2 linked regions of the Lepisosteus oculatus genome follow. The protein of the gene in region 1 binds, or shares a complex with, the protein of each later gene. Links are inferred from orthologs where the notes say so. Each region holds a gene or a part of one and is shown on either strand. Other genes may lie near its edges. The genes, in order: gemin4 and strap.

Evidence for each region.
Region 2: gemin4 (region 1) and strap share a complex: the UniProt entries of both Homo sapiens proteins name them as parts of the SMN-Sm complex. The link is inferred for Lepisosteus oculatus from reciprocal best matches to the Homo sapiens genes GEMIN4 and STRAP.

Annotation. Positions count from the first base shown.
Region 1 is NC_090721.1:10,943,312-10,959,224, reverse strand, and holds gemin4 (gem-associated protein 4), read right to left. Parts: upstream 7,489-15,913; 5' UTR 7,382-7,488; intron 7,191-7,381; coding exon of another isoform or gene 7,148-7,190; exon of another isoform or gene 7,049-7,147; intron 6,983-7,048; exon of another isoform or gene 6,236-6,982; intron 5,702-6,235; 5' UTR 5,643-5,701; coding exon 5,633-5,642; intron 4,347-5,632; coding exon 1,129-4,346; 3' UTR 1,037-1,128; downstream 1-1,036. Other genes in the region: dhrs13b.2 (tapasin-related protein), read left to right, coding at 7,148-7,190, 9,377-9,595, 11,058-11,300, 11,947-12,288, 12,622-12,951, 13,566-13,667, 14,405-14,424, 14,779-14,793. UniProt on the Homo sapiens protein: The SMN complex catalyzes the assembly of small nuclear ribonucleoproteins (snRNPs), the building blocks of the spliceosome, and thereby plays an important role in the splicing of cellular pre-mRNAs.
Region 2 is NC_090702.1:51,131,208-51,147,059, forward strand, and holds the start of strap (serine-threonine kinase receptor-associated protein), read right to left. Parts: upstream 6,004-15,852; 5' UTR 5,775-6,003; intron 5,653-5,774; 5' UTR 5,533-5,652; coding exon 5,421-5,532; intron 3,417-5,420; coding exon 3,281-3,416; intron 2,557-3,280; coding exon 2,475-2,556; intron 892-2,474; coding exon 819-891; intron 452-818; coding exon 352-451; intron 1-351. Other genes in the region: etnk1 (ethanolamine kinase 1), read left to right, coding at 10,052-10,198. UniProt on the Homo sapiens protein: The SMN complex catalyzes the assembly of small nuclear ribonucleoproteins (snRNPs), the building blocks of the spliceosome, and thereby plays an important role in the splicing of cellular pre-mRNAs.

The sequences.
Region 1 (15,913 bases):
ATTTTGGTTTTACTGGGAATGTTGGGATTGTGTTGAAATTTATGACATGAAGTTGTTTTAAAAGGCAGTTACATTATTCCTGTCGGAGTGTAATTGAGCACTGGACTGGACCAGAACCCAGCAGGTGTATACGTCCAGTACCAGGGACGCCTGGGTTAAACCCTACATGTCGCGCTATCATCCTGAGAACATTTTTAATAAGAAGTAATGGAATTTATTCTATACCATTGTTTCTCATCAAGTGGGCTTTTAGCATCATAATATCCCCCTGTGAAGACTTTTGCTTCATTCCAGTTTTTATTAATTCTATTGGAATTTTTTTTTTGGAGTGTTTATTTGTCTCGGCTCTTCTGCGGTGTGTGCGTGCCAGTGTTTGTGTTCCATGGTAACTCTTCACAGGGCTCTCCGATTCTCATGCTGCAGACTGCTGATCAAGAGGCCCTGCACGACAGAATCACAACCTAGTGCACTTCTTGCCACTGTTCATGATAACTTTTCTTAGAGTCAGATTGTTGTGCTTGGTTGTAATATCTGCCCAGCTGAGGATTTTTCTTGTTAGAGGGCAAGTTAATTCTTGATAGAACATGGCGATATTAAGAATTATTTTGTTGCACTGCACATGTGGAAATCCAGACATTACACAAGAAAAATAAAGATGATTTGATGAATCCTGTTGTGTGTTAATACCATGATAAAATGTGTTTCCCTTTAATTTCTAACTTTAAGAAAGAGTGTAATAGAAATACGCTGCGGTACCTAACCAAGCTTAATACTAAAAATACTTTTAACATAATATACAAGACAATTTTGTCTCAGAGCACAAGACAATGACCAAGACAAAGCACAACACTAAACTGAATTCCAAGGTCTGTTAAGTCATCAATACTTAAGAATTTCATAGTTTATCTGGAAGAACAGGTCCTGATTACCAGTAATGTAAGTTTTGTCAACTTTGGCCATATTTCTCTTCCTCTTCTGACAAATATTCACATCTGCATGCAGCCTTTTGGACATCAGTAACAATATAGCACACCACTTTATTGAAAACTGCCTTTATTTTGGTAAGCATTTTTTATTCTTGCAACAGCTAATGGGCTCTAAAACACCCAGAATGAGGCAAGAGCATGTTCAGAGCCTGGAGATTTTCTGCTGCACAGTGGAGCGCAGCTCCTGGTCAGGCAGGTTCTGGGCGATGGAGTGCAGGAAGTGCTTGGTGTTGTCCCTGTAGAGCGCGCCAAAGGACGCAGGGTGCTCTTTTAAAACCGCTTCGTACTGGGTGAGGATCTCCAGTACGGCCAGGTAGAGGGGCTCGTAGGTGTGCGCGGGCATCATCACTGCCACGTGCAGCAGGTGGCAAAAGAGCTGCACAAACACGAACACCACTTCCTGGCTGCCGTGCGAGGAGTCGCTGGCTGGCGCCTCGGACTGGCCCGATGGGAGAAGCTTCCCCGTCACAGACTCGAGGATGCCCCTCATGGTGCCAGCATACAGCCGTCCCACGTGCAGCCAGCCCTTCTGAGGCAGCCAGTCCGAGCAGCTGGAGCCGCACAGCAGCTGGAAGGCTCTCAGCAGCAACATGGAGAGCTGGAGGTCGCCGGAGAAGTGCCGCAAGTTCAGCAGTGGCATGAACTCGACGTACTCCAGGGAGTATGGTACATGGAGGCACCTGGTTTGGAGAAGATGCCGTGCCACTTCCATAACTCTCCCCCACTCTGTGGACGTGCACCAGGGCAGGACCTGGATGAGAGCCACCATGAAGCCCTTGCTAAACATGTTGACCTCCTCTGCATTTTTCATGTCGACCATGAGGTTTTCCAGCATGTGGGTCTGGACATCAGCAGAAAGACAGCAACACTCCATCCAGGCCAGAAGCCCAGTACCCAGCCCATACATGGGCAGATCCAGTCCGGCCCACTTGTCTTCTGACAAACTGCACACTTCCATCATTGACAAGGGCACCTCATTTTTGAAGTGTTCCCTCCACACTCCTTTTAGCTGAAAGCGCACAGTCCAATCCAGAGCCTCCACTTTGTTGTAGAGCCAGTAAAGAGCTCTGGACCAGGTGCTGGGGTCAGCTGCCACCTCTTTGCCTACTACATCGCACATGACAGCCAGGATGTTGGTCAAGAGCTCCTTAGCCTCCAAGGAAACACTGACATCATGAGGCACAGGATCCTGCCAGCACCTGAAGGAGTTGTGTAAGAGCTGGCAAAGGGAGAAAAGGAGAGGAAAAGGAGGACAGGACATTACCCAGTGTCCAGAAGCCTGCGGGCCTCTGTGCTGGAGAGCCTGCTGGAGCACTCGCAGACATAGCTCTAGGTTGCAATTGCTGTCCATCAGATGGGGCAAGACGAATGTCCTGGTGACCTCCCCAGGCTGAAGAAAACAGAGTCTGCTCTCTGGCTCATCTCCTGCAGGGCTGCTCGGCTGCATGAGGAAGGCAAGGAAATGAAAGAACTGGTCCTCCTCTTTAGCTGAAGACAGTTTGCCCCACACTGTGTCCTTAAGGCAGTGGCAGAGCAAACTGCAACCAGCACTACTGTCGCTCTGCAGACCAGAAGGTTCATAGTAGATCAGTCCCGGCAGGTTCTTCAGGATATCAGCCAGGAGCCTGTGGGCTCCGAGATTCACCACTGCGAGATGACACACCCTTTGCAAGACCGCTTCTGGATTCTGGAAAGCAACCCTGGCGACAGCAGACACAGCACTGTCAAGGCTCTGCGGTGTTTTGCTCTGAGTGATGCAGTTGAAAGCCAAGTTCACCTCATCGCTGAAGCCCTCCATTACAGTCCTCGGCAGAACACCATGCAGTCCCTTCCTGCCAAAGGCAGACAGCGCCCTTGCCAGTGACGAATTCTTAAGAGGCAGAGGAAGCTCAGAGAAAATGTCCAGAATAATTCCCTTCAGTCTCTTCTGCTGAGACACATCTTGGGTCCCTGTAGCCGTGTTTGCAGTAAGTGTTGAAACCAATTTTAAGACTAACTCTTCATTTCTAAAGGCAGGTTTGTTCCTCTCCAAGCACTCAGTCCACTCATTAACATTGAAGACCAGGCTGGATGCGAACACGTGCGTCACTTCTTGAAACCTTCCCAGGCGATTATCAATAACTGCTGCTGCAACCCTTGCCAGCTCAGCGCCACCGCACTCCAGCTCAGGAAGAGCAATTCCCTCTCGCACCGATGTGAGGGAATGACTCAGTTCCCTCACAATCCCTCTTTCTCCTTCGCTCACCACCTCCTCTGACAACGGGAGCTCTTCCAAGGAGCTGATCACACGTGGAAGGCAGCTCTTCAGCCTGTAAGCCGCAGGGCTAGGCGGCCTGTCTGCTGAGATTGTTAGCAGTTCTTTCTTGCCCCAAATCTCAACAAGTTCTAACAGAGCTTTTAACCCTTGCGGAAGTGTTACTTCAGTGGGCTTGAACTGGGACGGTGTGTGAGCAGCTGCCACTTCTCGCTGTGCCTCCCTGATGTCCTCGGCCAGGTTCTCCTCCTGCCTGTGGCTACACAGCCTTCGCAGCTGGACTGCCCTTGCCAAGCTCTGCAGGTGCTCCTCCACGGGCTGCCTGGTCTGGCAGTCGAGCAGGAAGCTTGTGTACAGCATGTCCAAGCAATTGGAGAGGGCGAGACAGCAAAGGTCAGAGGTGGAGAAACACTCTGCTGTTTTGCGTAAGGCGTCAAGCAGGAGGGAGACCACGCACGACTGGCGAGCCACGTCAGGGTCAGGCTTGAACCTCTTGGCGGACGGGGCAGGCAGCTGGGACAGGTAGCTGGCAGCCTGAGCAGCAAAGGCCTGGACAATCCCATCCTCCGGCTTCTCCTCGGGGCTTTTCCACAGCTCCCACCAAACCTCCAGGAGGAACTGGACATCCTCCTCCGAGGTCTCGATGAGAACGTGTTCCACAAGTCCGGCCAGCTGTCCGCACAGGGCTCCCCCAGGGAACGCCGAGAGGAACTGCGCAAAGACCCTCGCACAGCCCATGGACTTGACCAGCTCAAACAGCACCGTGGGACTTATACTGGGGAGGAGGTTTTGCACAGAGAAAGTTGGATCCTCCTTCCACTTTCTGTCAGTATTCTCTCCGCTGTCCCGTTCCTCCCTCTTACTGTTCTCCGTGTCAAGCAGTCTGGTCCACAGAATACAAATAATCTTCTTCTCCCAGTGTAAGACATCTCGAGTGCTCAGGCTGCTGTCAGAGAGAATCTCCTGTACCGCCTGAACGATGGGCTTCCCCACACTGTGCCACTCGGACTTATTCAAGGCGGCCAGCTCCTTGGGACGGTACAGCTTCTCAGCCAGAAGAAAGCCTCCGTGGAGAACAGCTGTCTTCTCACAGCTGATCCACATTCCTGTGGGTTCAATTTTAAAGGCAGTTAATCCAAGTGTTAAAGTCAACAAAAACCTCCCACACACATTCTTCAAAAACAGATTTACTAGTTAGTGAATAAACATTAACATTTCAAGCGTAAATCTTTACATGTTGAACTTCTAGACCTTAAATCTACTTATCTACGTACTCAACAGACTGTGAGTTTAAAACTTCAGCTAGAGCACTTTCCTAATACAGCTACTGCTTATTCTCCACTACCACAGACAGAGAGAGAACTTAGCATGGTCCAGCAAGGAAGCAGCACTCCAGTGTGGAAACACCACATCCAAAAACAGTGACAGAGGCATATTAGTCAAGTTATCCCAACATGGAGAACCGGTTTTCCACCCCTGAATGGATACCTGCCACCCTTGGGCCTGGACAAGCACTGAATAGTATATTCATAATACAGAATATACTGAAGACACTACTCGTGATTTGAGGTGGATATTTAAACTCCGAGAAAACGCCGAGTTTTAGATGTGGTCTAACATCTTCTCTTCTAACTAGAGCAGTTACAAATACCCACTTACTGATTTCTGGAAAGACACCATATAAAATCTTTAAAATAATCAGGGAAAATGTTGTTCAGAGAAACCAGCATATTTCATAGGCAAGATGCAAATACTCTGTGTCGATACAGCAGGCGACAAACCCCTCCCCTATCAATCAGCTCTCCATAGCTGAAGGACGTTGCTGGGGCATCACGAACTCTCATCCTCCCCAGTCCCCCTGGACACAGGATCTCTGAACTGTTAACAGCACCATGCTCACCTACCTCTCCTAACAATTAAACACACAGTTTCTGTTTGCGTTAATAAGCTGTCTTTATACATGTCTGATGACAAAACATGGGACCGGCCCCCGTGCAGGGTCAGACAGTGGCTTACTACCACATTGATTTATGACCTGGGCCTCGGACTCAGCTCCTGGAGAGCCTGTGTCCTCAGCCCCAGCTAGGCTCTCAGTTACATAACTGCGATACCGCAATACACGATGTTTTAGATCTTCACTCTATTTCTAATCAAGTCAAATAACTAGAACTTTTGTGAAAAGTGATAAAAAGACCTCGTGAAAATACCACATGAATCTGAGGAAATAACCTGATTACTTGTTGGTCTACACAGGTTGGCACAAAAAGAGTCTGCAAGCCCTGCTTCACTGTACATGATGCACTTTACCATTACAGAGCAGATGTTATCAACACAAGCATGTCAGTTACAGTATTTCTACTATGAGCATAGAATCTGAAAGGAGGGACTGTACCAGGCTCCATTGTAGAGTCCAGATGTTCCCGATTAAAGCAGTCCTCACTCACACGTCCCCCATTGTACCCTAATAACGTGACAGACAGTATCTTCAGTCAACACTTTCAAAAACACACATTTCATATGTTTTCAGGACCAGGAATACACAGTTTGTTTGAACAAATACTTTTGAGTACAAAGGAGCAGTCAACTTAACTGCAATCAGATAAATTGTGTGCGATTCATAAATTTGAACATCTTCACAGAACGAATGCTGAGTGAATTCCTGGCTCTTTCTAGTTGGTTGCCGCCTGCTCATGAACTGGGCTGTAGGACGTGCGATTAAACCGAAGAGAGCTAATGAATGGACTTCATTGTATCGGCTTGAATCTGCTTAACAAAGTCAAGATAAACAAACACGCACGGAAAACGCGGTATACCGAAATAACGTACATTTTATTTTTTTACGCTAAAAACAAATCGAGGGTTAGAAACTAAATCTAAATTTAAGGCAGATTGCAAATGATCTACGAAGGTCTAAATCTAAACCTAATGCTTTAACTTTAATTATTTAGTTTACCACTACATAGGTGCCGCATGAAAAACACACACGCTCACTTACAAAAGATACCTTAATGCACCGAATTCCACCACCGTCGGGGTTATATAAAACTTCGCGCAACTCTCCACTCGAGACTAACCTGCCCCCCACGCACACGCGCGCCAGACTCGTACTTCCTCCGCCACAACACCAACGAGTTTCACCAGCTCTGCTGGAGGACCCTGGAGTCTCACTCTCACCGTGCGCGGTTTCTCACAGCGCCCTCTGCTGGGAGCACGGCGGCTTGACCGCTCCGAGGAGTTCCACGGTCCCGGCCGGTCGGTTTCTCTTGTTGTTGGAAGTTAACAACGAAATCGAATAAAGTAAAACCCCCTACAACACACAGACAAGCCCAAATCTAGATGTTAAAGAAATACTAAAAGTTAACACATAAACAAATATTATTCCTTAACAAGTAGGGAGCCGCGTCAGTATGCTGCGTAGGCTGCAAAGGAACAAGTAAAGGTTTATTTACTGTTGCAAAGAGAAGAAAACCTGAAAGAAACCTTTCAGGTATCACACCCGAAGAAGGTTCTACAGCCGAAACATTGTGTTTCTTTTCTTCTCTCTTCAGTATGGAATAAACCTTTACTTGTTACAGGTTTTTTTTTAATTCTATTTAAGTTGTAAGTCTTCTCTTATCTACTTAAGGTGTTCTTTCTTCCCCAGTAAATTCAGACTGACCACCACGCCAATGGCCCGTGTTCTCGGCGGTCAGACACGGGGTGGCCACAGGCCCACTGGGTTGTGCCACCCTGGAAGTCCCCGTGGTTTTTCTAACGCTGGCTGGTTTCGTGTTTCAAACACGCCTCTCGCGTCTGCTGCGCTTGAGAAATGAAAGAGAAAGTGAACTCGGGCTCCCCGCCTAATGGAGGCTGCAGAAAGGCGCTGCGGCAAGTCGGTCGTTCGTGAAAACGTCTGTAAGGCGCCACTATGATAACGACGGCGGTGCTCCTGTGTGTCCTGATCTGCTCGGGTGAGTGTCTCCACACCTGTACGACGCGGAAACGGACCGAGCGGTCTCCCCAATATTGGACCCCCCCCCCAAACACTCGCCTTCCTGCTCCGAACCCCATTACCGTCGTTTCTGTGACGGCGTGTTTGAAAATATTGTCTGAAAAGTATTGATATTCCCCACATCGATTTGATCTTTTTACACGCACGTACGTTTTTCTCCTCCCGCACCTGAAACCAGGAAGGAGGCGGTCCGTAACGAACAGGGCCGGTCGGTCCCTTTTCGGCTCTTCCCGGTGTCGTATCCAATGGTCCCTCTAAGTTTTAATGGCACGTTTGCGCACAAATTTCAAGTTGTGCAATTCTTTTCCCCCAGTGCCAAAACCTGTGCGCACTAAATTGAGTGCATGTAAAACTGTAAAGCTGAAATTATTTTTCGTTAATATAGTCGTTCTCATAAAAGCATAGAGATCTAAAAGACCGGGACAGCGATTTATCGAACCCAGTCATAGAGACTTGAGTGTGGAGCCAGCATGAGCGGTGAGGTACGAGACGAGCACAAATATCGATTATCGAGTAGCAATAATAATGCAAACAGCCAAGTTGGGCCTCTCGCAGCCAGTCTGTTGTGTTCAATTTAGCATTTTTCAATTGATGACCGTGTTTGTTTTATTATCATCATTTTTTTCATTACATTTTTTGTGCGCAGTTCAATTTCCTATGTGCGACGATTTCATAACCTGTGTGCGCACGCACACACGCACACAGCGTAGAGGAAACACACGTCGTATCCCAGTATCTCCTGGGACACGACACCTGTCTGTTCCTCCAGATCACCGGCTCCCGCGGGGCCCTGAACGCTTTAGCGCCGCAGCTTGACATCCGTTTCGACACCCGTTAAACCCGGCTGCCCTCCCTCGGGCGACCGCGGCTGCGAGGCGTCTGTGCGCAGTGTGCGCAGTAGGATCTGTAGGCGCCCTGGTGCTTATGCACAGATGCAGGAACGAGGAAAGCTGTAAATAAAAGCTCTGGACGGGCGAGTTTTGAAAGATGAAATACGGCTGTCCCCCGCTTCGCCTGCCAACAGCTGAGACTCTGCAGGACTGCGGTCTGTTGATTGGTCCGCGCTTTCAGACACTGCCGGATTTCACCGATCAGAATCCTGCTTGATATGAGAAGGAATCTGGACTCGTGCCCGATTTGACTTCATTCCAGTGGGTGTCCACTGTCAGTGTCCTGCCTGTATTTGCACCGTGGACCAGGAAGAACGATATTTCGTTCCACTGTATACTTGAATATGGCTGGAATGATAAATAAATGTGAACTTGAACTTCCTTTACTTAAAACGTACACGGCAGGTACTGTATACCTTGCGTTTTGTGGAAATCTAATTCCGCATAATTCCGAAACTAGCGTTGTGCACTGCTGCAGCGAAACCCGACCGTGGTTACTCCGAGCTCTGCGGAAGAGTCCCCGCCAGGAGTCAGAGGTCGACCTCAGAAAATAAAATCACACGCTGTTCCTCTGCGTGTGTTGCAGTAGTTATCATTCGTGAATCCTGCCAATGAGCTGTGGATTCGTCTACAGGGACCCGTCTCGCTTCTCCTGTGAGCTGCTGTCTCTGGCGATCTGCGTGCACACACTCACTCACACACACACTCACTCACACACATACACACACTCACACACACACAAACTCACGCTCACTCACACACTCACACAAACTCACGCTCACTCACACTCACAAACTCACTGAAACACACTCATGCTCACACACACTCACTCTCACACACACACACTCAGTCACACACACACAAACTCACTCACTCTAACACACTCACACACTCACTCTCACTCACACATGCTCAGTCACACTCTCACACACACACTCACACACACACACAAACTCACTCTAACACACACACACACTTAGTCACACTCACTCTCACACACACACTCAGTCACACACTCACACACACTCTCACACACACACTCAGTCACACTCTCACACACTCACTCACACACACACAAACTCATTCTAACACACTCATGCTCACACACACACACACACAAACTCACTCTAACAGACTCACGCTCACACTCACTGACACACACACACTCACTCTGTGTGTGTGTGTGCGCATGCCGACGGAACTCCTCTCCTCTCCGTGCGCTCATGGTCGCTGTCTCTCCCTCCCTCGCTCACAGGCCTGCGCTGTGTCCGGTCCGAGTCGCTGGCCGAGGCCGGGCTGCTGGCCTGCGAGCTGGTGGAGGAGAGGGTGTCCAGCGGGCTGAGTGGGGCCCCTGAGACGCAGTTCGTCAACAGGAAGGCCGCGCTGCTGCTGGCCCGGCCGGGCCGGGAGGCGGACACGGCCCAGAGGCTGCAGGAGGCCCAGCGGGCCGGCGTCGTCACCTTCCTGGCCACAGGTGGGGTCGCAGGTGCAGGACGGTAGGACAGGCAGACAGGCCAGGTCAGGCATTACAGTAGAGTCGCGACTATCTGACCTTCGCTTCTCTGACATAGCCAGTCACCATAGTGTACAGTATATGTGTGCTCGTGCATAATATTGTGCCCAGTCCGATGCTGCTCTGTCTCTCCGTGCGTCACGTACTGCCTTTGACGTAGCTTCGCTTGCCAATTTCACACTCGTGATTATTTTTCCTACTGTCTTTTCAAAGCGGCACTAGTGTCGCGCCGCCCTGTACACCTAGAGGGTGCTCCACTTCTGTCCTGTTCCTAGTTCCCTGGGATTCTTCATGTCTTTCTGGTGTGTTTTGTTCTGTTGCTTATTTCCTTCCTGCATCTGCTCCGCTCCTCGCTCAGTTTCATCGGCCCAGATGTCGTGAGACCTGCCTCGTATCCAGGTCACCCTCCCCCCCCGTCCGTGGCCTGAGGGCATTGGTTTCTACCCCGACATCGACCCACCCCCTGAGCCTGGGCTAACCCCCGTGTTGCCCCAATGTTACCGCTATGCATAGGGTCTCCACTGCTCACCTTGCCCTTCCGCCATCCGTGACAACTAGCTTTTGTTGAACCACAAGAGGCCATGCTGCTGATTGCATTTTACTAAGACCCTGCCACAAGGAAGTGAAGCACACTTGTTGTTTTTTAATAATAACTAACAATAGTTCGGTAATCTGTTATTTTAGTATGACAGTAGGTCAATAAACCAGATTTCATTATTATACTGCGCTTTCATTAATCCATGATTTGTTTACTCCGTTTCCGCGGCATCCGACGTGCTATTGGTCAGATAGCCGTTTAGGTCAGATAATCGTGACTCTATTCTCCAGCTCTGGAGTGTGACTGGAGTGTCCAGCTCTGTTGGGGTGGTATGGTTGTACCTCTGAGAGCTCGAAAGGCTTTTAAAGTAAGCTCACTTTATTAGCCCTATACAATTTCTTGTATTAGGAATTTGTCTTTTTGCATACCCCAGCTTGCTCTCCATGAGACACACAGACAGGTAGAGAGAAGCTGGGGGTCAGAGCGCAGGATCAGCCATTTATACAGCACCCCTGGAGCAGTTGGGGGTAGAGACCTTGCTAAGGGGCCAAACGGAGTAGGATTCCTCTGCCGGCCGCAAGATTCGAACCGGCAACCTTCCAGCCACAGATCTTTGGCCACAGAGCCACCGCTCCGCCCGCATCAGGGCTAAGCGTGAGCCGAGCCGAGCAGGAGACAGCAACACCTGCAGGACACTTCTCGCTGGCTGGCTTCAGAGCCCTAACCAGGAGCTGTGATAATTGAAACATGTACCAATGTGCTCACCTTGCCCGCTCACCTCTAAACGCTCCGTGCTGCTCGTACCACCTGCGCGGGATCGAAGCGCCGTGCAGCGGGTGCAGTTTTCCCTGACGGCGGTGTCTGTCCCTCCTGGCGGTCCCGCAGGCTCGGCGGTGGACGTGACCCGGCACGTGCCTGGCGGGACAGAGCAGCTGCAGTGCGAGATCCGCAGGTACTCCACCGGAGGCATCCAGGTGCCCTGGAAGGGCACGGCCGGGCCGGACAGCGCCTGGTTCACCTGCACCCTCCGGCACAGCGCCAACGAGTTCATCGTCACGGCCTTCCTGCTGTACCCCAGCCCCGCGCCCCAGCAGCCCATCGGCGACGCCGACACCCTCAACACGTCAGGTGGCGCGCTCGCGGCAGACCCAGGCTAGCTGGCTGAGAACAGAATTATTTCCGATATTATTTCACTGAATACTGAGAATCTGTTCATGCTTTAATTTATTGAGACAACAAGTACTGCAGGAGCCCTATCACCCTGAAGCTCAGCAGGTGTGAGCCTGGTCAGTACCTGGATGGGAGACCTCCTGGGAAAGCTAAGGTTGGTGCTGGAAGAGGTATTAGTGGGGCCAGCAGGGAGCGCTCAAACTGCGGTCAATGTGGGTCCTAAGGTCCCAGTATGGTGACACTGTCCTTCTGATGAGATGTAATACGGAGGTCCCGACTCTCTGTGGTCATTAAAAATGCCAGGGTGTTTCTCGGAAAGAGTAGGGGTGTTATATTACCCAGGTGTGGGGGAGGGGATCCCCATTACCTGTAAAGCGCTTTGAGTGGAGTGTCCAGAAAAGCGCTATATAAGTGTAAGCAATTATTATTACTATTATTATTACTGGATGTTCCCTTGTACTATTTTGGCTGAAATCCGTTCCTGATCCTGTGCAGAGAAACAGCTCACGAGGTTAATTACCTGCTTGACCAGCTGTCAATCTGGAGTGGCCCAGGTGGACCGCTGTCTCACCCCTCTCCCGGTCTGTCTCCCCGGACTCCACAGTAGCCATGGTGGTCCTGACCCGGACGCCCACAGTGCAGGCAGGGCTCCTGCAGGACGCGCGCCTGGACTGCGGCTTCGCCGTGGACCACGCCCAGCCTGACGTCACGGTGGAGTGGCGCTTCCGGCACCGCGGGGAGCAGCGCAAGCTCTTCAGCTACTCCCGGCGCTCGGGGCGGGCGGAGACGGAGGTGCCGGGGGCGACGGCGGCGGCGCGGGACGTGTCGCGCGGGGACGCCTCTCTGCGGCTGTCCGCTGTGAAGGTGAAGAGCGAGGGCACATACGTGTGCTCCGTCTACGTGCCGCCGCTGTACGGCAGCCATGACGTCCAGCTGCAGATCATGGGTGAGGAGCGCACTGGGGTCAGAGGTCGGGGACCGGGGGTCAGGGGTTGGGGTCAAGTGACGGGGGTTGGGGGTCAGGGGTTGGAGGGTCAGGATTGGAGTCAGGGGTCAGCGTTCGGGTGTGAGGGGGCAGGCAGAGCTTGTCTTTGAAGAGAATAGAAGTGTAGAGTCTTTCCTGATTGAAAGAGAAACACACTGCCCAGTTCTCCCTCATCACACACCTGCATGACGATATTTCCAAGAAATTAAAGAAAAGCGCTGATGTTCGTTGTGGAACTCCTGCCTGTTAGGACTTCTGTTTGCCTGTGTTGATGCTGTCTGCCCCTGCCTGCAGAGAGCCCGCGGGTGTCCCTCAGCGTGGCCACTGCCCTGGCGCTGCAGGAGGAGGAGGAGCAGAAGGTGGTGTGCGAGATCACTGGCTACTACCCGCTGGACGTGCAGGTGGACTGGCTCCACGAGCAGGGGGGCGGCGGCCGGCTGCCCCAGGTCATCAAGAACATCCTGTTCACCAGCCACCGCCACCACGCCGACGGCACCTACAGCATCTCCGCCTTCTTCATCCTGCGCCCCTCGCTGGCCGACCACGACGCCCGCTACACCTGCCGGGTCTCCCACGTCTCGCTGCGCACCCCCATCCGCAAGAGCTTCACCCTCACGGTCACAGGTCAGCCCGCCACGTGCGCCCAGGGGTGGAACTGTCCCGATCTGCGCCAGCGCCCCTGCAAGGGACGCAGCAGAGTCACGTGACCTTGAGCGCGCGGCGCGGCGGAGTCACGTGACCTTGAGCGCGCGGCGCGGGAGAGTCACGTGACCTTGAGCGCGCGGCGCGGGAGAGTCACGTGACCTTGAGCGCGCGGCGCGGGGGAGTCACGTGACCTTGAGCGCGCGGCGCGGGGGAGTCACGTGACCTTGAGCGCGCGGCGTGGCGGAGTCACGTGACCTTGAGCGCAGCACCGGTCATCACACTGGTCAGGTGTGCATGACTGGGAGAGTCCGAATGTTTAACAAGAGGACCAAGAAATGATACGAATATTGTATCTGAAATTTAGATTTTTTTCAATTTGCAAATTAAAGAATACATGCACTGTGCTAGACGTTTGATGTATTCTTTTTTTAGTCTTTGTCCACTGGAGGACAGTATTTCATAAGAAATAACTCTTCCGATTACAGCTACACTTACTATAGAAGATAGTATTGTGCATTATTTGAGACATTTATTTATGTTGAGTCCTTTGTAAGTATCAGAGAACCGACCCTGGTCTTGTTTTATGTTCACAGAGAGGCTGAGGATTGGTTCGATTCTTTTCTGGATATTTGTTGCGTTCATTGTGATGATGCTACTACTGGTGTTGGTTATTCTGCTGCCCTACCTTCACAGTGGTGAGTTTTCTTTATTTTAACAAAACGTAGGATAATAATGGGGTCAGGAGCCACAGACAGGGATAATAATAATTATTGCTTACACTTATATAGCGCTTTTCTGGACACTCCACTCAAAGCGCTTTACAGGTAATGGGGATCCCCTCCACCAGCACCAGTGTGCAGGCCCACCTGGATGATGCGCCAGAACGCTCTCCACACACCAGCTCTCAGTGGGGAGGAGAGCAGAGTGATGAAGCCAGTTCAGAGATGGGGATTATTAGGAGGCCATGATTGGTAAAGGCCAGGGGGAAATTTGGTCAGGATGCCAGAGTAACACCCCTACTCTTTTCGAGAAACACCCTGGGATTTTTAATGACCACAGAGAGTCAGGACCTCGGTTTTACGTTTCATCCGAAGTACAGCACCTGTTTACAGTATAGTGTCCCCATCACTATACTGGGGTATTAGGACCTACATGGACTGCAGGGTGAGTGCCCCCTGCTGGCCCCACTAACACCTCTTCCAGCAGCAACCTTAGTTTTTCCCAGGAGGTCTCCCATCCAGGTACTGACCAGGCTCACACCTGTTGAGCTTCAGTGGGGTGGCAGCTGTGAGTTACAGAGTGATGTGGCTGCTGGTAATGATTCTGTCCACCCAGAGAGCACATACCAGTTGTCTTCACTGAACACTGAACTGCAGCACAGTGGAGTGTTTCTGACTAACACTTTGTCTTCATGTTTCTCTTTCTTTTTTAGCAAGGAGAGAAGCGAAAAAGGTGAGTGATACAATACCTCCAAAATACCTTCTTCAAGTTAAAGTGTCCACACTTAAAAACTATACCACCTGTACTGTTTTTTAGCTGAGCTTCAAAGCGTGTGGCCTCTCAGTGATAGCTAGTCAGCATAGAAATCTGTATTGTATTAAGGATGGGTTTTCATGAACTGTAAAGAATGTAAGTTATCTGTAAAAAAATAACAACTATTTTCTAGCTGATAAAATTGAAAAAAGCATAAAAGCACCTTTATACAAACATTGTGTTACAGACAGTTCAAGCACTTTCTTAAAACAGGCTTTACACCTCCACAGTCACTGAGATCTGCCTGAGTTGTAAATTGTCCCTACTTTGCAGAAGAAGCCATACTGAAGGAGATCTGGGCCTTTGGGTGTCGTGCCAGCCTGCACCCCCGTGCCTTGTTCTCCAGTGCTGAGCGACACAGTGCTTCCCAGAGGGACCAAGGGGTGCTGCCCAGAGCCTGGGTGATTGGTTTATCAAAGCCAGTGCCCCCATGTGCTATGAGATTTACACCTGGCTTCCCAGTGGAACATTCCTGAGGTAAAACCCGAAGCAGGCGGACACAAATATCCGTCACTGTGACATTGCACACGAGCCAGTCCTGGGCGCATGGCACTGGACTGACACGGATAAACAGCCGGGTCTGTTGCCACCCTGCTGTTCCACTGTTTGAGACGCTGGTCCCTTTATGATGCACGTGTTGCCGAAATGACCAATCAGTCTCGGAAGAAGAAGGACTTTAAAAACCGGGTCATTCATCGAAGCCACCCCTCTGTTTCTCTGAATGCAAACTCTCAGCCCTGTGCGACGAAACCGGTTTTTGATTTGTGTTTCGGGGGGGGGGGTAAGTTTCATTTCTGTGGCAGTAAAAGCAGCTGTAAATGTGAAACTGTGTTCGGTGCTTGTATGTGCATTTATTTAAGCTTTGGGATCCAGTTCCACAAAAGAGCCACACTCACAGCGTTGACACAAAATACATTTTATTTCATAGCAAATTTCGCATGGGCACATTACATAATACCAAATATACATATACATGATTCTCTCTTAAATTCCTTAATGTAATAATTCCCTCCATTTTATACATCACAATGAACATAGAAGGCAATCTGCTAAAATGGCAATAAATTAAATCTTGGCGATATACTGTACATCATATTAGGTGTGGACGGTTTCTCGAGCACCATCTGGAGGCTGAAAGACGAAAGATCACATCCAGCACACTCTTCCCCTTCCCTCCTGGGGACCTGCTATCCCACAGGTCGGCGAGGAGTGGATCAGAACGGGCTTGGAGAACCAGAAGGGGAACCGCTCTGAACTAGACTGGCACTGACAGCCTTCACGTTAGGATTAGCGCTTTCCCGGGAATGCACATATGAATCCACTTATATGGATTTAATACAGCCTCTGGTGATAAAATACAGTATCTACACTTGATGTTTGAATCTTATATTGCACTCTTGACTACTGT
Region 2 (15,852 bases), on another chromosome or scaffold:
TTCAGACACTTGATTTCTCCAATGAGTTTTCTGCATGTTATTCACTGAACAGGTTTTCCCTTTGGTCCCCATGTCATTTCTTCTTGATCTTGTTTTTTCCCCCCTTTCCATTCTCATTTCCAAAACAACTGTTGCCCATCTCTTTTAAACAAGACACTCGAAATGTAACACAAAGACTCCAATGCCAGAACTACTGCAGCAGGGGTTGTGCAGAAGTCAGTGAAGTCTTTTCTCCCCAGCTGCACCACTTGCACAAGAACTGATAAGTTTCACCATCACAACTCCTTTAACTCCAAGAACGTTCCACACACGGTCCGATTCCCAGGTACGCAAGGGAGAGTCTCAGCTTACCGCACTGTTTTGTCATCTGCAGCTGAAAGTATCTGCGTATCATCATTGCACCAAAGAGCCTTTTTAATGGCAGAGGTGTGGCCAGTGATCTCCTGAGGCTCTGTACAGGAAAACAAACCAAGACCCATTGTTATTTTAGACAGAAAGATGAAGACAGAATGATGTACCCAATTATTGTACAGTTATTGAACAGCTTACTGTTTGTTCTCAAACTAATTCTGTTTACTTCAAAGCAATGTATATATATATGCATGCATGTGTGTACAACAAAGCTACAGTGGATGTAATAAATCAAGTTGTTTTGTGTTACAAGTTGTGTTATTAATATACACTTGCTTCAGAATGTTTGTGTGGAAAATGATCTTCACACTTATCACACCAGAAAACTACAGCGTCATCAGTATGACCCTACCACGCGCATCTGCTTAGAGCATGGTAACCAGTATCCCTCACCAGTAAGCACTCACCTGCATCAGGCTTGCTCAAGTCATAAATGCGCAAAACTTTATCCTGCCCCCCGGTTAAAAGGCATGTACTGTCCTGCACATAGAAAAATGTTTAAAAATGTCACAATTAAAACCTATAAAAAACACAGTATAATTTTAGCAGTAACTTTTAGTGAATAAATATTCCTATATTTCTAGCACACAGTTTTAAAATTTAAATATAAGATTATTTACAGTACATTTAGCTTTTTTTAAAAAAAAAAAAGGAGTTAATTGTAACTACGAAGCAATGCATTCCAAGCATTTCAATATAATTGTCCAAGTCTCCATAGGGACTTCTTTTGCCTTTGTTAGGGCAGTTATCTTTTGCCACTACGCACAATTAACTGATCTTTTGCCACTGCATAACTTCTAAATTCTTATTACAACTCTGACTGTGTTTTTACATATATAGTACATTCTTAATCTGTAAGCATTAGAAGATGTCATTTTCACATGAACATACGTTTCAATACATTAAAAAAACTGCACTCTCTCGCCTAAGGCAGGCTGAACTCCTGAGGTTGGGATTGGATGGTCAGGGGTTTCTCTGTTCCTGGTGAGCGGCACAGAGACCCCTGACAGTAAGTTTAATTGTTGTAAACGGCTTGTTGTAAATGTCTTGCTAATGTTACTGGTCTGGCAACGCTGCATTTCGCCGAATTTTTTGTAATGTAATGTTTTTTTTAATGTTTCTTTATTAGCCCTATACAATTTCTTGCATTAGGAATTTGTCTTTTCGCATACCCCAGCTTTTTCTCCATGGGGACACAGACACACAGACAGGGAGAGAAGCTTGGGGACAGAGCGCAGGGTCAGCCATTGTACGGCGCCCCTGGAGCAGTTAGGGTTAAGGGTCTTGCTCAGGGGCCCAACAGAGTAGGATTCCTCTGGCGGCCGTGGGATTTGAACCAGCAACCTTCCAGTCACAGGCGCAGATCCTTAGCCACGGAGCCACCGCTCCGCCCAGCGAGCCCTGTGGCCTCCTGGGCACTGGAGGCTGGGGCAAGTAGGTAAGGGAGGACGTGACGTGACCAATACAGAGGAGTCTGTCCGCAGAGGTCAGGGTTCGAAGCTGTGAGCCAAGACATTACAAACACCCACTTGGCTATTTCCATATTGGACAAAAACCACCAACAGGAAAGTTAAAAAACATGCATATTTTGCTATTATAACAAAAGGGTTCATTAGTGGTCATGTCCTTTACGACCACATAATGTGAGCACTATATGTCCTTTAAACACTACACATGGATGGAAAAATAAGTTTTAATAACATTGCTTGATGTCAGTTTCTGCAGCCCAGCGGTTTTTGAAGAATATTTCATTTCAGAGTGAGATAAGATTTGGCTAATACTCAGAATTTGAATGTCAATGAACTATACAAAGATGTGGATCTGACCATTCCATTCCTTGCTCCTAATCTTGAACCCAATCTTGTATTCATGAGAGAAGCTTCTCCAGTCTTTACAGATAACATAAACTAGCGATAACACAAGCAGAACTACTGCATTAGCTTTAAGAAAGTTAATAAAAGGATAACGTTACCACAGTGACATGGTAAGCGTTTGCTAGAAAATGCACAGCTTTACAGCTGTGTGACTGGCTCTCTCATGAATTTCCAAGTAAAGTAACAAACCTGAGTGAAGTTCACAGACTTGACGATGTGTTTATGGGCTAGAGTGAGGACCTCATCCCCTGTAACAGCATCCCACACTTTGCTATAAGAAAAGAAACAAACCTAAGTCAGCAACACCCTCATCCCTTCCATAACTCAATGTGTCAGTAAGAATGATAACGATTTCCAAAACAGTTTTAATTGTTTACCAATAGCTGTGCGACTAATAGTCTCTTAAGATTGTATACTGAATCCTTCCAGAAAGAAGCAGAAACTTTCATCAAAACAGGTGGCTTTTTCGGTACGTGCAATACAGCATTATACAGATATCTGCAGTGCAGTCAGAGCCCATTCCCATTAAGACAGATCAACCCGCTGGATAGTGTAAATGACTCGGTTTTCCATTTCTCGTGTATATAATAGCAATCGCTCCCTGAAATGATCTCTTCCCCACTTACAAAACACTGAGATAAAATATAAATATTTTTAAGCTTAACAGAAGATCTGTCCTTGCGAGGCACCAGACCAGTGCCCATGTGTCAACTGATCTACCGTCAGGATCTCCATCTACACTAGCCAGTCGCACTGTCGAGCAAACGCTCCATCACTGGACCCCTTCAGCTGATCTGTCAGGGGAACGGACCCTCAACCTCAGATCTACAGCGCGCGGCTCGCGTTTCTCGGGACATCTTCTGAATGCACGAAGATAAACGTTCTGGACGGTGTCTTTGACACGGTGGGAGCGGACCGAGCACCGAGCGCCACCCGGCGAGCAGCGCCTCTGTCCCGCAGCGCAGTCCCCACGGCGGCGGCGAAGCCGTACTCACGCGGTGAAGTCGGCCGCAGCAGTGGCCGCCTTGGTGGCTTCTTTGTTCAAGGTGGCCCCCCAGACAGCACCCTTGTGACCCAGAAACGTTCCAATCCAGTCCCCTGTGTCCCCCTGGCGCAACATAGGTTTGCCATCTGGTGGGAGGAGCACAGAACACACACACACAGTTAGGACCGAGCAAAAGGTCAACGCTTCGAGAGCGTGGGAAAGATTCTGCAGACGGCAAAGTGACACGTTTCGCAGGTCACCAGCCGGCCCAGAAAACAGCCTTCCATGCCTCTGCACGAACCTGAAGAGATTAACGGTCTGATTTTGTGTGATGCTCAAATCCCTTGCCCAGGGGAGGCACTGTCAGCTGTTTCCCAAGAAAGTGTAGGATCCTTCAGTGTGGGATATTTCATTTGGAGATGCAGAGCATTTCAGTCGCAAAAAAAAACAACACAAAAACACACAGCTCACCTTTAATAATAATAATAATAATCTAAATCATCCTTAAACCCATATAGCTCTTTTCTGGACACCCCACTCAAAGCGCTTTACAGGCAATGGGGATCTCCTCCTCCACCACCAGTGTGTAGCTCCACCTGCATGATAGAACTGGAGGCAAAGTGAGCCAGTCTGCTCCCCACACACCAGCTCTCAATGGGGAGGAGAGCAGAGTGATGAAGCCAGTTCAGAGATGGGGGTTATTAGGAGGCCACGACGGGTAAAGGCCAGGGGGAACTTTGGCCAGGACACCAGGGTAACACCTCTGCTCTTTTCAAGAAGCACCCCGGGATTTTTAATGACCACAGAGGATCAGGACCTTAGTTTTAGTCTCATCCAAAGGATGGTGCCTTTTGTTTTTTTACAGTAGAGTCCCCATCACTATACTGGGGTGTGTGTATATATATATATTCTTTTTGGAACAGTACGTCAGCATTGAAGTATTTTTACACATACCCCTACATGTATCTAAATACACGTGCTCCCTTCCCAAGGATAGGGAGTGTTGTTCTTGCATAAATGCCATTTACTTCTTTTGTAAAGCGGTCCATTTATTAATACGACAAGCAGAAATTTTAATCTGTAACTGGATGACACAAACAGCAAATTTGCGAGATAAAGTATGGCCAATGTGTGCTTCCTGTTTAAAATGCGTGCCTGAGGAAACCCAGACCCTTAATAGAAAAGGCAACGCAGAAAGGTGTCCCAGGGCCCCTGGAAAGATGTGTGCCAGTTTACAAGACACAAAAAAGAGAAAGAAACAGGACAGAGCACAAACAATTGTATGTGACATTGTCATAATCATGAAGAGAACAATGGCAGCAGGCAACAACTCACCCAACAAGACAAACTGATCACTGTTTGATGAGGGTGCCGATCATGGCTAAAGGCTAAAGAGAGTGACCTAACTTAGAATCTACTGCACTCTGTGATTGAGCAGAATTCAGTGACTGGAGCACACACAAAAAACACAATAATACACATAAATATAATCCACATCAGACTGCGTCAGCACCTGCTTGATGAAGGGAAAGCAACTTCCATAAACCTCTACTCAAATCACATTCCTTCTCTAAATTACACCCCCTTGCAGGTAGTCTTTTAGTCATGCTGTCTCTCCCGAGATCAAGCACAGTCTAACCAACTCAACTCAACATGAAATAATCCAGGTGCCCTGCTACAGTCCACTGTCACTGCAGGGTTTTTACACTTCGCTGCAATGATGTCACATGGTCATTTTTTCTGTCTCTTCACGTTATTCAGAGGACATTCATTTTGGTCAACAGGTACCACGCTTCAAGTTAATTCATTTCTTATACATTCTTATAAAGCCTTAATGTTATATATGTATATATGGACACAAAAAAACACGTGTTGCATGTTAAGAATCTCTTTTAAGAATGTTCCACCTTCACTTTTTAGATTTTTTAAATTATTTTAGTCTCCGGAGCCTTCACCGTCAGGACAGTCGGGATATCAAGTTTCCAACATTTACACATTTAACACCGTGGAAACGAAGATTAAGTTTTTTTTTTTTCATTCAGCGCATACCTGCGCTGATGACTGATAAGAAAAAAAAAGATTCAGGCTGCAGATCGCTCTTGGTTGGACACCGTGAGCGACGCCAATATTATGTCTTAGAGATACCTTACCTTTGCACGCACTTATCAGGAAATATCCATAAGGGGTTATTCCGCTGAAAGCCAAGTCAACCACAGGCCGTGTGTGCCCAGAGCAAGTAAGCGGTGTCTGCCTCATAGCCATAACGCTCCTCGCAAATCAGTCCCGCACCAAGGGCAGGGAGGGAGAGAAAAACTGCACAAATACGGTCAGCGACGGGGGGAGAGAGAGAGAGAGACGAGAAGGAGCAGAAAGGCCTGGTATCTGAAAAAAAAAAAACAATAAAACAAAGCAAATTATTCAACGCCAGTTTGTAGTTTTTGTATGAAACACGCCTCAAGCTGGTGCTGTGTGTCTGTGTGTTTTTGCCCCGAGCGGACACTCACCGGTACGCCGTGCGAGGGCTGCCCAGGGGAGAGGAGTTTGGAGCCGGTAAGGACGGTCGGATCCCGGGACTGGGGTGGGGTGGGGGTGAAAGCGTTCGCCCTGCGGACAACGCTGTGCCGCCGGCTACCGTAGGCGACCGGTGCGGGAGGGGAGCTAGGAACGAAACAGACGGGGAGCAAGAGAAAATTAACAGGATGTGCCAGAGGAGAGAGGGTGACGCATGGCCGCAGCCGCCGGAAGGGAACAGAACAGCCATAACGCTCCGTGTGGAAACGGGGGAGCCGATAGCAGAGGAGCATGAACGCCTCTTCTCGCTCTTTCATTTCAAGTGTTTGATTGTAAAGCGGCTTTTCCAGCTGCATGATTTCACTTTATAGACCCCTAGATCTAGTACATCACTACGGTCAGCGTTCGGCCATGTGGCTGACGTGTTTCAGGTAACAGGTAACGGGGTCTGAAGCCCTCTTCAGGTGTGAGAAAGACATGGTAGACGACAAAGATTAAATAGCACCGGAGAACAAAAGCTGGGAAAGTGGAGGAGGGAGAGGGGAGAGAGATAAGGCAGAGGGGCCACTTAGGAAGTGCAAGTAATTTCTGGATGAGAGTCTTGGATCCAAAAGCTAATAACTACCCAACGAGTTAAATAGGACCCAGTGGCCTCTTCTCGTCTGAAACGTTTTGTGGGAGTTTGAAGGAGAGTGTTGATTAAAGTTTCTCAGACATGTATTTTACCTAGATTTATAGAAAACGTTAAGAAATAGATATATACAAGTATACAGTACAAAGAAAAAATAAACATGCATATCTGAGTTACCTCAAATCATAATCAGCAACATTTTTAATACATAAGAAATATCCATACACACATTTAATTGTGTCATGAAAGTGACTAGATGACCCAGATTGGTTAATAAACGTTATTTTATACAGAGCCTTTGAGAGGAAACTGAATCTCAGAACATGGAATAACTAGGCAATAACTCTGTACAGTACAGGCATTATCACAGCTAGTCAAATACTGCTGTCCTTGTAGAGACATCAAAATATGTAGACAAAACTGTAAAATCTTGCTTGTTGAGATAGCAAAAGCAGGTGCAAAATAAATGAATAAACCTTACACAAGCAACCATGAGGTTATATCTAAACTAGGTGCTAGTTTCTCGTTTCCTGTTGGTTTCTTGACTGTAGAGTGTTTTTTTTGTTTATTATTTAATGCCACTTAACTAGTGGCCCAAAGATGAAGCGTAAAATCTCCTTGCAATGATTTAATTTCAAATCTTACTGCAGCTGCTCTTCATAAAACCCTGCAGAATTTCCTCCCATGGAGCAGGGAAGGAAATATATACAGTGAAAATGGTTAAGAGAGATGTGACAGGGGAGCTAAAGAGATGGAAATCTGGTTGGCAAAGGCCAGGGGAAGTGTGGGAAACTGCAATCAGCAAATAAAGAGATTTAGAAAAACATTAGTTATACATTGAGTGCCGGAAAAAACAGTGTGAAACATCCATCCATCCAATTTCTAGCCAGTTTATCTGATACTGTCATGGGGGAGCCCTGCCCTATTCTGGTAAGCAACAGGTGCAAGGCAGGATACCTCCTGGACAAGATGCCTGTCCATCGCAGGGCCCACACAGATAGAAGCCAGTTAGCCTGGTAATATGTTCTTGGACAGTTGGAGGACATGAACAAAGAGACAATATAAAAACTAAATGCAGACAGCACCCCCTTGAATTGAATTGAACCCAAGGCCCCAAGCACTGTGAGCCACCAATGTTAACCACTGTGGCACCATACCACCTGCAGGAGTGAAACATGTTCAAAAGCTCATCTTGACTTCTGATCTCTTCCTGGTGTAACAGTTTCTAAGTTCTGTGTTGTTGTTTTTTCCTTTTGTCCTTTCTACCCCACCCCTCACCTCATCTCCCTGCTCTCTCATTCAGTTCAACACACACCTGAAGAGTCTCCAGGACCGAAACAGGGGTTTTCTTTCTTTTTACCTTACAGTATAGACTTACGTCTTCTTGTTCCTTTGTAGCTCACACTTCGGCACATTCCCCACTCTAAACCTCTCTGAGATCATGTTGAGCATTTTGTGTATGCATAGAAGAAGATTCCTATTTTTTATTTTAATAATGTAATGCTTTCCAGTTCATCATTGTTATTTAACAGTATTACTCTAACACAAACAAAAAGAAGTGTTTTGAGACTAAAGCCTCTCCTTGTTCACAAAACAGCCAGGCCAGAAATAAGGAACCCCTAAATGAACATACTGTTTGGGCCAAATGAGGTCTCGCTGTCATAAATTCTAACTTGACCATTCAGAGTAAAAATACAGTAGTGTCGCAATGAACACAATCTGTGACTTGTTTAGCAGACCGTTGTCTGTATATAAGATAGCTGTGAGTAACGCCAGACTACTGTATATTCACAATGTTTAAGACAAACATGCTGTTACAAACACTGTGTCTGAAAAGGAACACAATACAAATGGTAGCAAAAAGGCTGTAAGTCACAACTCAGACAGTTTATGTAATAGAAGCTGTGCGTTAGACAGCATTCCTCATTAGCTTCACTGCTTATTTGGTCTCTATAACCTTCAGAATAAATAAACAATTCTAACAATGAATATTACATTTTTATTTGGTTGGTACTTTTTCTGCTTTTAACAGTTTTGTCCTTGGCTCTAATTTAACTACAAAGCACATGCATCTGTATGTATTAGTGCAGTAGGACATGTATATATCTCACTTATCCAGCATCACAGTATCACCACTTAAGCACATTGTGAGAGCTGTTGATGGGGTCTGTTAATTTAGCCAAAAGTTACACTAAGATGCCATAAAGCTGACTTGCTTTAGCAGCCCCAGTGGCTTACAGCTACATAATAAAAGACAGAAACAACACCCACAAACAGGATAAACCAGACCAATATCTGCTGCATATCAAAGGACAGAACCTAGGGCAAGACAAGTAGTAATTACATATCAAAGAAAAGCACAAGCACTCAGATTGTGAAACGAACTTTCTCCTGACTGTATATAAGAGCTGGGAAACCCTTGCAGTTTGTCTGTTCTGCGGGGCACAACCAGCGCACGTTGTGTACTTCTTGCGCTCAATAAAACTGAATCTGCACAAGACTGTGTCCTGCGCCTCTGATGAAGAATTTCGTAACACAGAATTCTAATTTTTGTGCCTTGAAGGCGTGAACATTATAGTTCATTATTGTCATAAAACAGTATTTCACAATGATGCTGCAGCTCAAAAAAAGATTAGTGTTACTGCAGACATGAATCATAGTTTTAACACAGCATCTGTCTAATATGTCTGTATTCACACGGGCAGAACCGGAATTTTGCAAATAAGCACTCGATTTTGTCAGAAGACCATAGTAAAATCACTGCTTGTAACCCACATTCTATAGGTCTACCGTAAAATTATTCTTTAACCTTCAAATCAATTGTCCCTTGGCGATAATACAAACTCTCTCTACCTCAGGATGATCATACCTTGTTTTTTTAACAGAGAGCAAGAGTGGGTGTGAGTGCATGTGATGACGCCGTTTGAAGAAGGGAGCGTCGCACCCGGTTATATCCAGCATGTTCTAGAACTCTCTTCCCATTCTGGAATACTATGTAACTAATAACAACTTCTACGAAGTTGCTCATCAGCCGGTGTTTTTTTTTAACACCTTCTTTCGCATAAAACCAGCACGATGTGTGGTAGCTGATTAATTGCCTGCTAAAATTAGATCTCCTCTTTCCAAAAGGCTGCCGGGGTTTTGAAAGCTCTTGGCTTGGAGCAGCCCAGGTCCCTGCCAATTCAAAGTGTTACACACGACTAGGAAAATAAATGCGGACTGCAGAGCAAATGAGCTTTGGGCCTTATTACTGCGTATCGCCATGCACGGGGGAGTGTTTATTACGTATTCCAATGAAACAAAACTAAAACATAAAAAACAAAAATCCAGCAACTTCACTTGAAATACCCGACGCCGCCCGCACACAGTACACTGCCGGCAGAAAAACGTCACAGTCGCGGCAACCTTGTCACAATGAGGCAACGCCTCACCTGATGCTGTGACTCACCCCGGGACCAGCATGCAACGCGCGCGGGTTGCTTTACGAGGGGTTGGAACGTTCTAAGAAGCAGAACCAGCTGAGGCGATTCTAACTGCGAAGGCACGCGCGGGAGCTCGTCTACAGCCCATTGAAACGTGTCTTTTCTTTGACAGCCGTTAATAAAAGTGAGGGGGAAAAAAAAAACCGTACTCGTGATCATGGCCGACTACATCCACGTCCCTGCGGGAGCCCCAGCAGTCCCCAAATTAGATGTCACAGTAGACGAGCACGATTTCAGAGCTGGAGCCCAGAAACTTATCAAGGAACTGAGACCCCACTGGAAAGAGACAGATGTCAAGATGAAGGTATATTTCTCAATTTCGTACGCGAAATGAAGGATGTGCGCGGGTTTTTTTTTTATTAAGCGAAACCGTGGTTTGGGGGGGGCAGTGACCCGCTGCAGGGTTTTGAAAGGATGCCGGACGTTTTAGAGAAATTCAATGAAAGCCGAGACTGCCGGGGCGACGCCAGCCGCAGATGGGGAAGGGCGGTCGGAGAGGCCTCCGTGTCTGCTGGCGTGCGTGTCCTGGGGGGGGGGCTTTCCCCTAAATTACTGCACTGCACACTGCGCACACTGCACACTGCACGGGGGGGTGCAGCCTCCTTCGCCCCGTGCAGGGGGGAATCGCCCCGATCCCTCACCCCCGGGCCGTGACGTGTAAAGTCGTGCGTGTCGTTTCTGCTCGGTGGGCTGCAGACGCGCGGTGTTCTGCGTCGGGGGTTTTGTCTCGACAACCTTCATTTCTGTGCCGGGTTTTCGGTCTTTTTGTTTTTCTTCCTGCGTCCCTTTCATGACCGGATGGTAACGCTTAACACACACACACACACGTGTACATACTGTACATATATATATGCTATTTGATGTATATTTCACGTTTCGCGAAGCAGGTTACCGGCGGTGTGCGAAAGAAACGGATGCAGAGCAGGTGACTAGACTAGTGACGCAGATCTTTAGCCAAACTGCAGATTAAAGATGAACGCACGTCCTCGGGGCTGGAAAAGTTTGATCAGTTTCGTACAGTTTGTCTTAAAATCTTTTACTCCAGGAGCGTTTTTCCCCCCAAGTTTATTTGTTTCGGATCCGGTTGATTTAACACGTCTGCCCCGAAAATGATTTGCTGGACGTTTTGATTTCTCGGTTAACCATCACTAGTCGTATTTCATAAGTCGTATAAGTTTCTCTTCATTCCCTCTTGTGTAGTTCCTCACAGAAATGTATGTCCTGCAGTACGCCTTATGACCCGAGCGCAGTGTTCCCCTCATTAATGATCTTTTGCTTCTGCAGTTTCTCCAGTTTGATTTAAAAAAAAATAACAAAGGGTGCCCCAAGATCATAATTGATTAACATTTGATCGTTAAAAACATGTAAATATAGGTTAATAATTGTTCAAACTGGTTGTTAAACATTCATTTTAAGTCAAAAAAACCAAACCTTGTGAAATTAACAGGTCGAGCCACAATGTGCAGTGATACTGGCATCCTGCATAGAAAATTTGACTTCTGTTTCATACATTTCCATAAGAGAAAACTCACAGAGACTTCCCAAAGTTTTTCTTGTGCAGAGTTGAAGTTAATACAAAATTCCCATTTAGAGAGTCTTGAAGTAATTATAACATTGAAATGAAGATTACAATTGTAAAAATTGTATCACTTTTATTATAAAAATATTCACCCATAACCAGCGTGTGACCACTATGTATAATCTTATTACTAAACTACTAGATTATCTAAAAACATGTTAAGGTCAAATTGAACCTTCTATGAACACAGAATGGAGACAACACCATCCAACTGCTTCCAACATTTTCTGGAGGTCATGGGCAGATCTAGAAAATATCTTCTTTCTTCTTAAATGGTGTACGTTTTCAATGTACTTTTCGTGAAACAAGCTGAAGTGTGTACTGTACAACACTTTGATTCTTCATCTTGCATTGTGCATGCAGCCTTTTTGTGTGTTTTTAAGTGCTCCTTGCATCGTTTCCAACATTTGTATACAGCTGGGACAAATTCAAAGCACTGAGGATTTGCACAAATAGGCTACTATAAAACTTTGAGATGATTATCCGGCAATCCCTTCCCTATTAGGGGACTGGATAATTCTTGATTTACTGTATATAGTTCTTTTCATCCTAAAGGATACCTAATCACTTTCGCCCCACTACACAGCAGCTCAAGTAGAGAAGGGAGGAACTGTTCCCCTGTTTGTATGTGGGGCTCTTTAAGAATGCACGGTCGTAGATTGATGGTCTAAGTGACCCATAGCCACAACATAGGGCTTACCACCCCTGCTTCTTTTAGTTGTGCCACGGGATCGTGGATGACCAAGGACCGGCTTAAAAGTCTCATTAGCATACTGCACACGTTTGGGGAAATTACCTGCTGTGCTGACTGGACATCGTTACAGTGATGTAGTTTTACATCACTGAAGGGTAAGGGTCTCTGTGGCATGTGACGCACCGCAGACCGCAGCTCTGTAAGTGGGAAGAAACGCAGGTGGAGAAAGAGCACACGGGCGAAATGAGTCCTCACCCCAACATTAAAAACTCAAATTGTTTGTGTTTTCTTACATTAAAAATGATTATAGTATATGATTATTTGCAATATTGTTTTTTTTTCCTATTTGAGAATTACGGAGTATCCCTTTCATGAGTCGTATAATTTGAGTGCGCCGTTGTCCAAGTTCTTTACTGCGTTGTCAAACAGGATTATTGACATTCAGCAGGATCGGAATTCAGAGCAAGGCAGCATTTCAAGTTATTTCTATAGCCTGTTTCTCTAGCATTGAGGTGAAGAAAAATACATGTGTTTTACTTAATTGCGATGATTAAGTTAAGCAACAATAATTTGTTAATAATTTGTTAATAATTTGTTAAGCTTGTCACACTGCGCTGCTGGAAATCCTTGTTATTGTCCTCAACAATAGAAAATAATCTCGGTGACAGGTGCCAGAACGCACCCACAGTATGTGATCGAAATGCGGAATGTAGTACAGTAAACAAAAGTTAACAAGGACACTCCCTCTTCTCCCTTTCACCACTTCTCACTGTTGGGAGGTTCACAACTGGCACAAGCTTCACGATGAGTCATTTGTTTCCTTGACAGGAGAGATTTGGACTACGATACAATGAGCAGGTCAGCTGATGAAGAGTGATGGCATTGCACACAGGTGCATCCCTCTGACTTCGGCGTGTTTCACCTGTGTAAACTGATCTGCCTTTTGTTTAGAAAGATTATGGGTGCAACAGATTTGCTGCTATAGCAGCAGTGACCTGTGCGCGCTGGCAGCCGAAACCGTGGCAAACATTGACGGTCTGCCCCCTCTCGCCAAAAGATTAAAGCACTGAAGAGGCAGTGTGGGGTGAGTGACGTAGGCTTTGGAGCACCCCAGAAAAACTTTGTCACCAGAGTAGAGAAAGATGACAAAGTGAAATGAAAATATGGGCTATGGTAGCTGGATCACTACTGGAATGGCAAGGTCCCGGCTTTTAGGTAGGGGTTCCATTCACATTTACTGACCTCGGTGTGTTCCCACAGCTGCCTTCCACACTGCTGTTTCCTTCCTGCAAAACACTTGGCAGCTACCGCAGCAGGGCTAAAGGACAGTTTGGCGCCTCACAAAACATTAGTTGTGTCTTTGATATAACTTGAGACTTAACAATTCCAAACAAGGGAGTTGTGCACCCAGAAAAGTTTGAGAAGCTGCGGTTAGAAACAAAATGCTGGAGTAAGATCGCTTCAGGTTTTGTTTTTCTCCCATTGAAACATGAGAATCTGCTTTGTGTATTATTAAACATCTTTTTTTATATTATCATTCTTTTGGAAGGGATTACCTTTCTAATTAAGCAATACACCGATAAAACAAGTCTTAAGTTTAATACAGTTAAAGACATGCTGACTGATTTTTTTCCTATCTACAGGAAGAAATGCCATAAGCATAAAAGTAATAAACTGGCTAATTCTTTATGATTTGAGCTACTCAGTTTTAATTTAGTCAGTTTATTACCGTAATTAACGGTTTCCGTTAATTAATTTGCCACTTATCAGTTTTCTAGGTTCAGATGGTTCAGAAGCTCAATGCAGCACAATTGTTTGCAGTGTTTGAAGTTAAAGGTGAAACAGGAATTAAATGTGTAAGCAATCTCCATTAAACAAACATTTGCTGAAGTATTTAAGGTTGGTGCTATATTTTGTTAACGTAGGATTGGACACGTTTATCTTTAGATTCAAATCAAATAACAATAATATCCATTGTCAGTGTCATGTTTTATCAGTGGAGTCTGAATACTAAACTCCCTATTGGCAAATGTATTCTTGATAAACTAAAATTTTGCTATATCTTTTGATAGAGCAGGTTGATATTTTGTGATTCTTTAGATATTCTACCAGGAAAAAAAGATTTCCTTTAGTCATGAATTTCATTTATTTTCCCTCTATCTTAATGTATCTTTATATTTGGTATTCTTGGGGCACAATTATTTAATTCTGACGGCTTTGATTCCCATTTAAACTGTAGATATGATCTTATCTTTTTAATTTAAGAAGGCAATAAAATAATTCCAAACTGAAGACGGAAAATGTAAGGCTGGTGCTACATTTTTATTAATTGTAATTATATTAGCTAATTGATGCTTTTATCCAAAGTGATTTATATTAACACCCTTATACAGCAGGGTTTGTACTGCAGTAATCTTCAGTGAATCTTTCTCAAGAGTAACACACTTGTGCCTTACCAAGGATTTTAACCTTACAGTCGTGAGTCTTGAGCCCAGACCACTGGTCCAGACTTTTGCCTTGGCAGTAGATCATTCAGATCTTACTGTTTGCAGACTGCTGGACACATTCTAATGAATGTGGGAGAGTTACTGTACTTTAATGTTATAAATGCACAAATTAATCTGACACTTTTACTCACAGGTAACAAGTTGGAGATGTACAAGCGGGAATCAGGTGCTAGATGAGCAGTCACAAGTGATATGTGAAATGTGAAATGAATACAATTTCTGTGTGTGTGGCGTGAGACTTAGAAATGTATCACCGTCTAGGGCGATTTTTCATTCAGTTTTGTATTGAGAGGCACCAAGTTATTTTTTACTTGGTGTTTTATTTCATCTTAACATGAGACTAACAGATGGGTTGGGGCATTTGATCCATCTGCTTTGGTTTTTAGTTGGTAATCGATCTCATCCAGCTGAATTTTGGAAGAAGCCAGAGTATTGGCTTCAACGAGATGACTATATTACCTCACATTCAGCTTTGTATGTATTTCCCCCGTTTCAACTTTAAGGTACAGTACACTTGTAGTCTTGTCTAAGTTTCCTTTAATGCAATTGTTGGAATACTATTGAACCTTAGAGATTTGTTTTGTTAAGTTAATTGCTAATAACGTTTGTTAAGTACTAACATAACAAAAGTTATAGTTCAGGTGGGTAGCTGCGTCAGCATGCGTAGGCTGCAAAGGAACAAGTAATAGGTTTATTCCATGCTGAAAAAAAGAAGAAAGAGAACACAATGTTTCGGCCGTGGAGCCTTCTTCAGGTGTGAAACATAACAAAAGTTATGTTGCGTATGTATGTAAACTAATAGTTTATGAGTTTATGTAACTCGGATATAAAACGGGAATAAGACTTAACTGTCCTACTTTTTAGAATCTGTTCCTGATGGAACGATGTATTGAAGAGGTCAGAAGAAAGGGATCATGTAATCTTACACCTGTGCCTCTCCAGTGATGGCACAGATTGAATTTGCAGGGAGTGGTTCCACTACACACGGATTGAGGGTGGATACGGTGAATTCTCTATTCACTACTCATCAGTGTTCTCTAGTTTTTGTTTTGTTCCCTTTAAAGAGAACATTTTTCCCATTCATAAAACCTAAGATAACTTTACTGAATGCATTTTAGAAATAGTGTAATAGATGTCATAAATACTGTTTGCCTCACCCATGTTACCCTACAGCTGTT